2 linked regions of the Sus scrofa genome follow. The protein of the gene in region 2 purifies or fractionates together with the protein of the main gene of each other region. This does not show direct contact. Links are inferred from orthologs where the notes say so. Each region holds a gene or a part of one and is shown on either strand. Other genes may lie near its edges. The genes, in order: RFWD2 and TRIB3.

Region 1 (3,819 bases), on a different chromosome or scaffold from region 2:
ATTTAAGAATGTCTATTTTTTACAAGATCACAATCCTTTTCTAGGGTAGTTGAACTTCTGCCATCATACCCACTCATTTAACATCTACTTCTAAAAGAAATTATAAAAACACTAAAAATAGTTATTTCAGTATCTGAAAGTATAGGGATTAACTTTTATTTATCTGGTTGTGAAAAGGTAGGATTTTGTTTGGTTGGTTGGTTTATGATCAATACCCATACATCACATGCTGGCCTATCACCTCTCCTATTCTAATTACAGATTAGTTTGTAAAACCGTTTTCACTGTCTCTTTTCTCTCTTCTAATGCTTTATAATTTAGCTTCTTTTTCAATTACAATTAAGAGATCAAGGCATTAATTTATTAGTCTCCGTCTCTCATTTTAATAGCTAAAACTTAAAGTTGGGGATGGGGACTGGATTCTCATTTGAAAACATACATACAAAAGGACAAACTCTTAGGTACCCCATTACGTAAAAATTTAAATTTTATCCTTATAGTCAAGGACACTAGGGGGAACTTCAGTAATATGATTAGTGTAGTCAATGTGCATATCTGATTAAGTTTGAGATGACTAAAAACTAAAGATAACATGTTTTAAGTACAATACAGCCTTGTCTACAAAAATAAAAATCTAATCTTCCTCCTGGTTTTAACTTTACCTTCCTATAAAGCTATATCCCCAAAATAAATTAAATTGGTTCACACTTAATCTTTACTCTCCCAGAGCATTAATTATGCTCATTATTTAAAAATTATTAATCAATAGCCTACTCCAACCTCTCTCCCACCTCGTTCTCTTTTTTAAAAAAATGTCTGCCATTCGCCTGTGGTTGTATCTCAACATCATACTGACAAACAACATCTGAAAGGGCTACTGTGGACTTTCTGCCGGTCAGAATGTAGGTCTCAGACCACTTTCAATTTAACAGCTTCCTACCATAGACTACAGACCATTAGAGAAGTTTAAGAAGGGGTTTAATTCTCAGACAATACAAAGAAGCTTTCTATTTGTAGGAAAGCCACTGACTATTAATTTCAAACACACTTAGAGACAGCTTGGCTTCTTCCTAGTCTTCACAGGAAAAATACTATGCAAATCTATATGTTTTTTCCTCCACCTCCAATCCTGAGGCAAATTTGTCCAAAAGTGACAAGCAATGTGAAGATCATGATACAAACATGCCTATTAAAGAGAAAACCAAGGCCAAATTTTTAACAATTAATAAAAAATATCAGACATCTTTTTCCTTTGGTCATCCTCATTTTAAGCAGGTCTACTATGAATGACATCAATTAATTGAGAATCTAAATTATACTAAGCATTGTATTTTATATGCATCATCTACAGTCCATCAAAAAAAAAAAAAAAAAAAAAAAAAAAACCCTGGAGGATGGGTATAAATGGCCCTACCTCCTTTGTGAGCAAAGACACCAAGAAAGGCTAAAGATTAGAGAACAAAAGGGCACAGAAATATACTACTTTTCTGTAGCAACAAAAATATTATACGCTATCACGTACAAATCTTTTTGTAAGTTATTTCCTCTACTTTGAGTATGCTTCCAATTATCTTTTTTAAGGTTATACTAGCCCTGACTAAATACAACTTCTCTGAAATCCCTACAGTAATCATAATCACTCTCTTACATTTCACTGTCTACAGCTTGGCCTGGTTTTTTCACTCCCTGTTATAATAGCAGATATTCTTCTCTATTCCCTTAGGGCCCTCTGCACACTTATATAACATGTAATATCACATAGATTTATTTACCTGTTGCTTTCCCCCACTAAATTTACAATACTCCTTGACAATACCAGTTCTTTCCTCTTTTTTTATTCTTGGCACAGAGGACAATACTTAGAATTTAACATATGTTGAATAATAGGAGGCAACTGAATTGAACTTATTTTTGCTAGCTACCTCTTCATGGCTGATTTGTTTTTTAAGTTTACTCAGCTTGCCATATAAAGATTAAAAATTCCCAAATAAAGAATAAAGAGTTATGGAAAAGCAATGTTCTCCAAGATGTCTAAAAACTTCCACAATGTCAAAAATGCACACTTTTACTTTACGAATAGAACTTTCCATAAATCCAGCATAAGAGGCTAGATATGGATATGGAAATAGGAATTGAGATATCTTAAGAAGTCCTGAATGTGTACCTGAGATACGAGACATCCTTGTAGAAAAGTAACATTGCTCTAAGTCTTCAAAATGAGCAGTGAGTCGTTTTCGTCTTGATGCTAATGTGCTGTTATACCAGGGCTGTTTCTTTGTCTAAGGTGATAACAAGAAAAGACACTTGTAACTTAGAATAATTCATACTGTCTTTCATCACAGAATATCCAAATGCTTGCATATTTTTGGTAATTTGAAAAGTTCACACTAAAATAATTACAAATTGTTAAAAACTCAATAGTGATTAGACATATTTTCCAATTCTTATTTTAAAGGAAAAACAGCCCAATTTTATAAGAATAATATAAGAAGCTTCTTTCAATTCTCGAAATTAAATGAAGATAGAATCCATTATGACATTCTAAAACTTAGGATTTTGAGAATTTTAATTTTTAGTAATTGTTAGAAAACAATTACCAAGAGAAAACTAATTACTTTTTCATCTCCTTATATTGCAGCCCTATACCTTTTGAATAAGAGGAACAGCACTTGACTGTACAGAATAGGTACTTAATATTATTAGGTTAAGGGGCCATTAATATGTACTAAGTTTGACATATACATTAGAATAGAATAAATCATACATATATATATATATTGATAGCAACAACAAATCTGAAATACATTGGCATAAAAATCATATAAAGAACAAAAGTCTATGATCCTAAATATATAATACCAACTCCATGCTAACTAAAAGGTATGCCAATTCTTCCACAAATGGTTATTACCTACTTTGCTTGGTTATCACCTATTACGCTTGAGGCACATTAACAGATGAAGAAATAAGAAATATAATGAGACCCTGAGATGACACAAGTTAACAATAATCATACCACAACTGAAAATGTATTAAGATGCATTAAGAAATATTAAGTTGCTTCTTAATTAACAAATAATATTTCAGTTACTACCTAAATATTCATTGAATTAATTAAAAAGTAACTTAATAGTAGTAACACAGATAAAACATTTATCTAAAGTAAACTCCTTCTAAGAGTAGACAATAAGAATTATATTTTAAAGAAGTGCTTGGATCACAAGAAAAAGAGTCAAATTCCAAAGAGATAAACAGCCAAACAGTAAACTGCACTCAGAGAGGTGACAGTAAACAAGATATAACAGAGTAGAAAGAGAAAGAAGGAAATTCTTGAATTAAATTGAAGGACAAGCAGATTCAACTGCAAAAAATAGAGAGAGAGGAAGAAGGAGAGGATAATCTAATTTGGGGACAAATACCTACAAAAGAACAAGTACTAGAATTGGAGAATAAAAAGAGAATTTGTAAATTGAAAGATAAATCTGAAAGAATTAACCAAAATGAATGTATCTGAAGAGTTGATGCTGACAATTTTCCAAAACTGAAAACATACATTGACAGAGACATAGAAATTATTTCTGTCAAGAAGGATAATTAAAAAGAAATCCACAATGAGCTAGCTACCCTAAAGAAAAACTGTTTTTGTCCAAAACAGGTAGATTTTAAAATCAAAGAGAAAAGATACCTCATCCAACAGAAACACTTAAAAAAGGCAAAAAACTTCTCAAAAGCAAAGAGAGAAGCTAGAACAGAGTAAATTTTGGTTATTCTTAAAAAGTTAAAATAACCCCAATCTAAAATTCAGATCCCAAAAAACTA
Region 2 (3,819 bases):
CCCAAGCGTCCCCAGAGCAGAGCTTGGGACTTCCAAGACCTTGCCTAATCCTGCCCCCCAACTCTGGTGCTCAGGTCAGGGGCCACTGACATGAACAGGCTTGACCCCTCATTCCAAACCATTCTTTAAGTTAGATGAGGTCCAGCCTCGCAGTTTATACTCTTGACCTTCCAGCCTAAACTCTTGGCTCAGGTCTGGATGGAGAATCCCTTGACCAAGAGGACAGAGCTGCTGGGAGCACAATTCCTAGCATAGTCTGAGCTCTAGGGTCCTGAGTTATGGGAGAGAGGCCTGGAGCCTTTGGCACAGTGATGCTTCCCTTTCTCTAAGGAGGTGCGAGATACAAAGGCAGCTGGGTTGTTTGTGAAAGGGACTGTCCCAGGTCAGAGGTGCCTGGGCACCAGCACGAGTGGATGCTGACACCTGCACTGAGGGAGCCACCCACAGTGTATAGACACTGACCCCTGGACATGGAAAGTGTTGTCCACTCTGCAGGCTGGAGTTCTGTCTCTGTCATTCTCTGTGTTTCCAGTACCCAAATCACGGCTTGGCACAGTGAGCACCCAAAGAGGACCCAGCGAGGCACGAGCTCAACGGCACAGGTGTGCAGAACCATGGGTTGTGCATCTGGCACGCTCCGTGCACACCTCCTCTCTCTCCCTCCCAGAAGGCACTTAAGGTTCAGCTCGGTTCAAAGAGGCGGGAGAGAGCGTGGAGATACCCCAAACCCAACCCGCCGAGTGCGGCTGAGAGTCTGTGCGTTAGTTAGCCATAGAGACCCACATCTCTTTCTGCCTCTTCCGCCTCCTCCGCCTCCTCCAGTCCCGGCCCTTCGGGGACCACCTGGTCAGCCTCCCGGAGGCGAGAGCTTGAGGGAGCCGTGGGGACCGCATTCTGCCGCAGCCAAGGGTGCAGCAGGATGCCCGGGGCCGTGAGCCGTTCAGCGGGCTCCCGACGGAGGAGGCAGCGGACCAGGCAGCGGGCAGGAGCTGAGAGGCCCTCAGGCAGGGCGAAGGCCCCACGGCGGATCTTGCCAAAGAGCAGGACAGGCTCTGAGTCCTGGAAAGGGTAGTGGCCGGCCAGCATGGTGAAGAGCGCCACACCCAGGCTCCAGACGTCCGCCGCCTTGCCTGAGTAGGATGCCCGGGAACTGAGGATCTCGGGGCCCACGTAGGCAGGGCACGCGTGCTTGTCCCACAGGGAGTCGTCAGGCCCCGTCAACACACAGGCGTCGTCCAGGTTCTCCAGCATTAGCTTTGTCCTAAAAAGCAAGGGGAGAAGCAGAGGGGTTCGCTAAAGGGACCATCATGCCACCACCCCACACTGTCACCCCCTTATTGTTTTCTTTTTTAGGGCTGTACCCATGGCATATGGAAATTGCCAGGCTAAGGGTCAAATGGGAGCTGCAGCTGCTGACCTAGCGACAGCAACGCTGGATCCTTAACCCACTGAGCCAGGCCAGGGATCGAACCTGCATCCTCATGGATCCTAGTTGGATTCTTAACCCGCTGAGCCACTATGGGAACTCCCTACCCTGGCACCCTTAATGGCATCTACCTCCCAAATGCCTTCTGGCATTTGCCAGATTGATTGAGCCAGTCCTGTGAGGCTGTGTCATTGATCCCATTTTACTGATGAGGAAGTCTAAGCTCTGAGAAGTTAAGTCATTTCTCAAAGTCATGGAGCAATTACATTTGAACAGGGACTCTGGGAGGAACACATTTCCCAATAGTCCCTGGGGCAGGGGCGCTGAGGGGGCTGAGGGCATTAAGCCCTTCTTAAACCAGAGGCAAACTTAGGGTCAAGGCAGGTGACAAAATGAGAAAAATAGGATATGGAGATTGTGTCAAACACCTCAACATAAATCCTACCTAAAAGGCCCTGCTAACAGCATTCGGCCAATATTTGGAGTGTCCATTGTGTACCTGACCCTGGGCTAAGCTGGTACCTGGCTCATCTCATTTCACGCTCATACAACCTCTGAAGACGATGCCATTTTGCAGCCACAGGAAGCAGGGCTGGGATGTGAACCTCACTCTCACCCACCCAGAGCCAGTGCTATGAGCCACTCACATGGTTCCCACAGTAGCTCTGGGGTCCCATTTTGCCTCAAGAGAAGCCCAGAATCATTTTTAATGACAAAAATCTCAGTTTTTAAAAAGTGGGCAACCAACTTCAATTAAAAACACAAACAAAAATGTAGGTGAAAAAAAAAAAGTGTGTATAGTCCCCATTTGCAACTTCTACTTAAAACAGCTCCCACAGAGCACTCTAGACTACTTTAAGAGTCAGCATTCTATTACCACTGCTATTAATCTTATTCCTATGACACCACTTCCTGGGTGCCTGTCTGAAAACGCTGACCAGTCCTGTGACTCACCGCACAGAGGGTGGGCTGAGGTGTCAGTATTATTGGCTCATTTTACAGATAAAGAGATCAAGGCTCAGGCCAGTGAAGCCATTGCTCAAGGCCAAAGAGCAAGTTAAAAAATAGAACCAGGAGTTTTCTGGTGGTGCAGTGGGTAAAGATCCGGCAGTTGTCACGGCTGTGGCTCAATTCTGTTCTGTCTCTGGTCCCAGAACTTGCACATGCAGCAGGCTTGGCCAAAAAAAAAAAAAAAAAAAAAAAGGGAGAAACAGAATTTGAACCCAGGTCTGTCTGACTCCACTGTCCCTCATTTACCAATGGTGCTTCTCAAACTATTGCCTTGAAAAGAGAAGAAAGCACTTTTTTTAAGGGCCACACCCGCAGCATATGCAGTTTCCAAGGCTAGGGGTCTAATAGGAGCTACAGCTGCTGGTCTACCCACAGTCACAGCAATGAGGGGCCCAGCTGCATCTGGTACCACAGCTCACAGCAACGCCAGATCCTTAACCCATTGAGTGAGGCCAAGGGATCGAACCCACATCCTTATGGACATGAGTCAGATTTGTTACCGCAGCCACAACAAGAACTCCAGAAAGCACTTCGCTCACTTCTGGGAAGTCTGGGGCATTGAACTTACCCTAAACTCAAAATTACCTGAAGCTGAGTATTATTAGCTTAAACATCGTTATAAAATTTACATTTTACTTCTTACTAAAAACATGTTCATTTCTGTATGAAATGTAGAAGGAAATAGAAAACCACCCTTAGACATCATGTGAATAACTGCTACAGACAGAATGGACGGCACTGAAATGAGTGAGTGAAAGTTTGAGGAGAAATAGAATATCCATCCACAAGCAAAGCCTCCATGTACCTCAAGCCAGTAATTCATTGCTTGTAATTAGGAAGTAAATGAGGAAACTTCCAAGGGGAGAAACTCCACACCTTAACTAGAGATTGAGGTTCTGTCACAGAGATGGGTATCAGCTTCTTGTATCTCCAGGTGCAGTGGGCCGAGGAGGCCTTATGGCTTCTGCCATGTTCTTGCCCCAAGTGCATCACCTCCGTCTAACCATGACCAGAACATCAGTCAAGTCCACACTGAGAGGCTTTCTCTGTGGCCACACTCACCTGTCCCGGTCGCTAAAGACGAAGCGCCGCAGCTTGAGGTCCCGCAGGACGAGCCCGTGCTGGTGGCAGTGCGCCAGGGCGGAGGCCATCTGGCGGAAGAGCGCGGCGGCCTCCGGCTCGGGCAGGCGACGCCGGAGGCGCACCAGGCTGTGCATGTCCCCGTGTGGCCGCGGGAAGAAGGCGTAGAGCTGCCGCGTGCCCGCCAGGACCTCCGACGGCCGGGCCACGTGCGGGTGGCGGGGCAGTCGCGAATAGGGCTCCAGCACCGCCAGGGCCTCGCAGGCCGGGTATACCTGTGGACCGAGCAAGGCGTGAACACA

What was found.
Region 1: the proteins of TRIB3 (region 2) and RFWD2 purify together in Homo sapiens (affinity purification with mass spectrometry; 5 studies listed by BioGRID and IntAct, counting the BioPlex papers as one, with this or other methods). This does not show direct contact. The link is inferred for Sus scrofa from reciprocal best matches to the Homo sapiens genes TRIB3 and COP1.

The regions. Positions count from the first base shown.
Region 1 is NC_010451.4:118,016,671-118,020,489, forward strand, and holds part of RFWD2 (E3 ubiquitin-protein ligase RFWD2), read right to left. Parts: intron 2,280-3,819; coding exon 2,165-2,279; intron 1-2,164. UniProt on the Homo sapiens protein: E3 ubiquitin-protein ligase that mediates ubiquitination and subsequent proteasomal degradation of target proteins.
Region 2 is NC_010459.5:34,809,309-34,813,127, forward strand, and holds part of TRIB3 (tribbles homolog 3), read right to left. Parts: intron 3,793-3,819; coding exon 3,500-3,792; intron 1,262-3,499; coding exon 766-1,261; 3' UTR 1-765. UniProt on the Homo sapiens protein: Inactive protein kinase which acts as a regulator of the integrated stress response (ISR), a process for adaptation to various stress. Inhibits the transcriptional activity of DDIT3/CHOP and is involved in DDIT3/CHOP-dependent cell death during ER stress.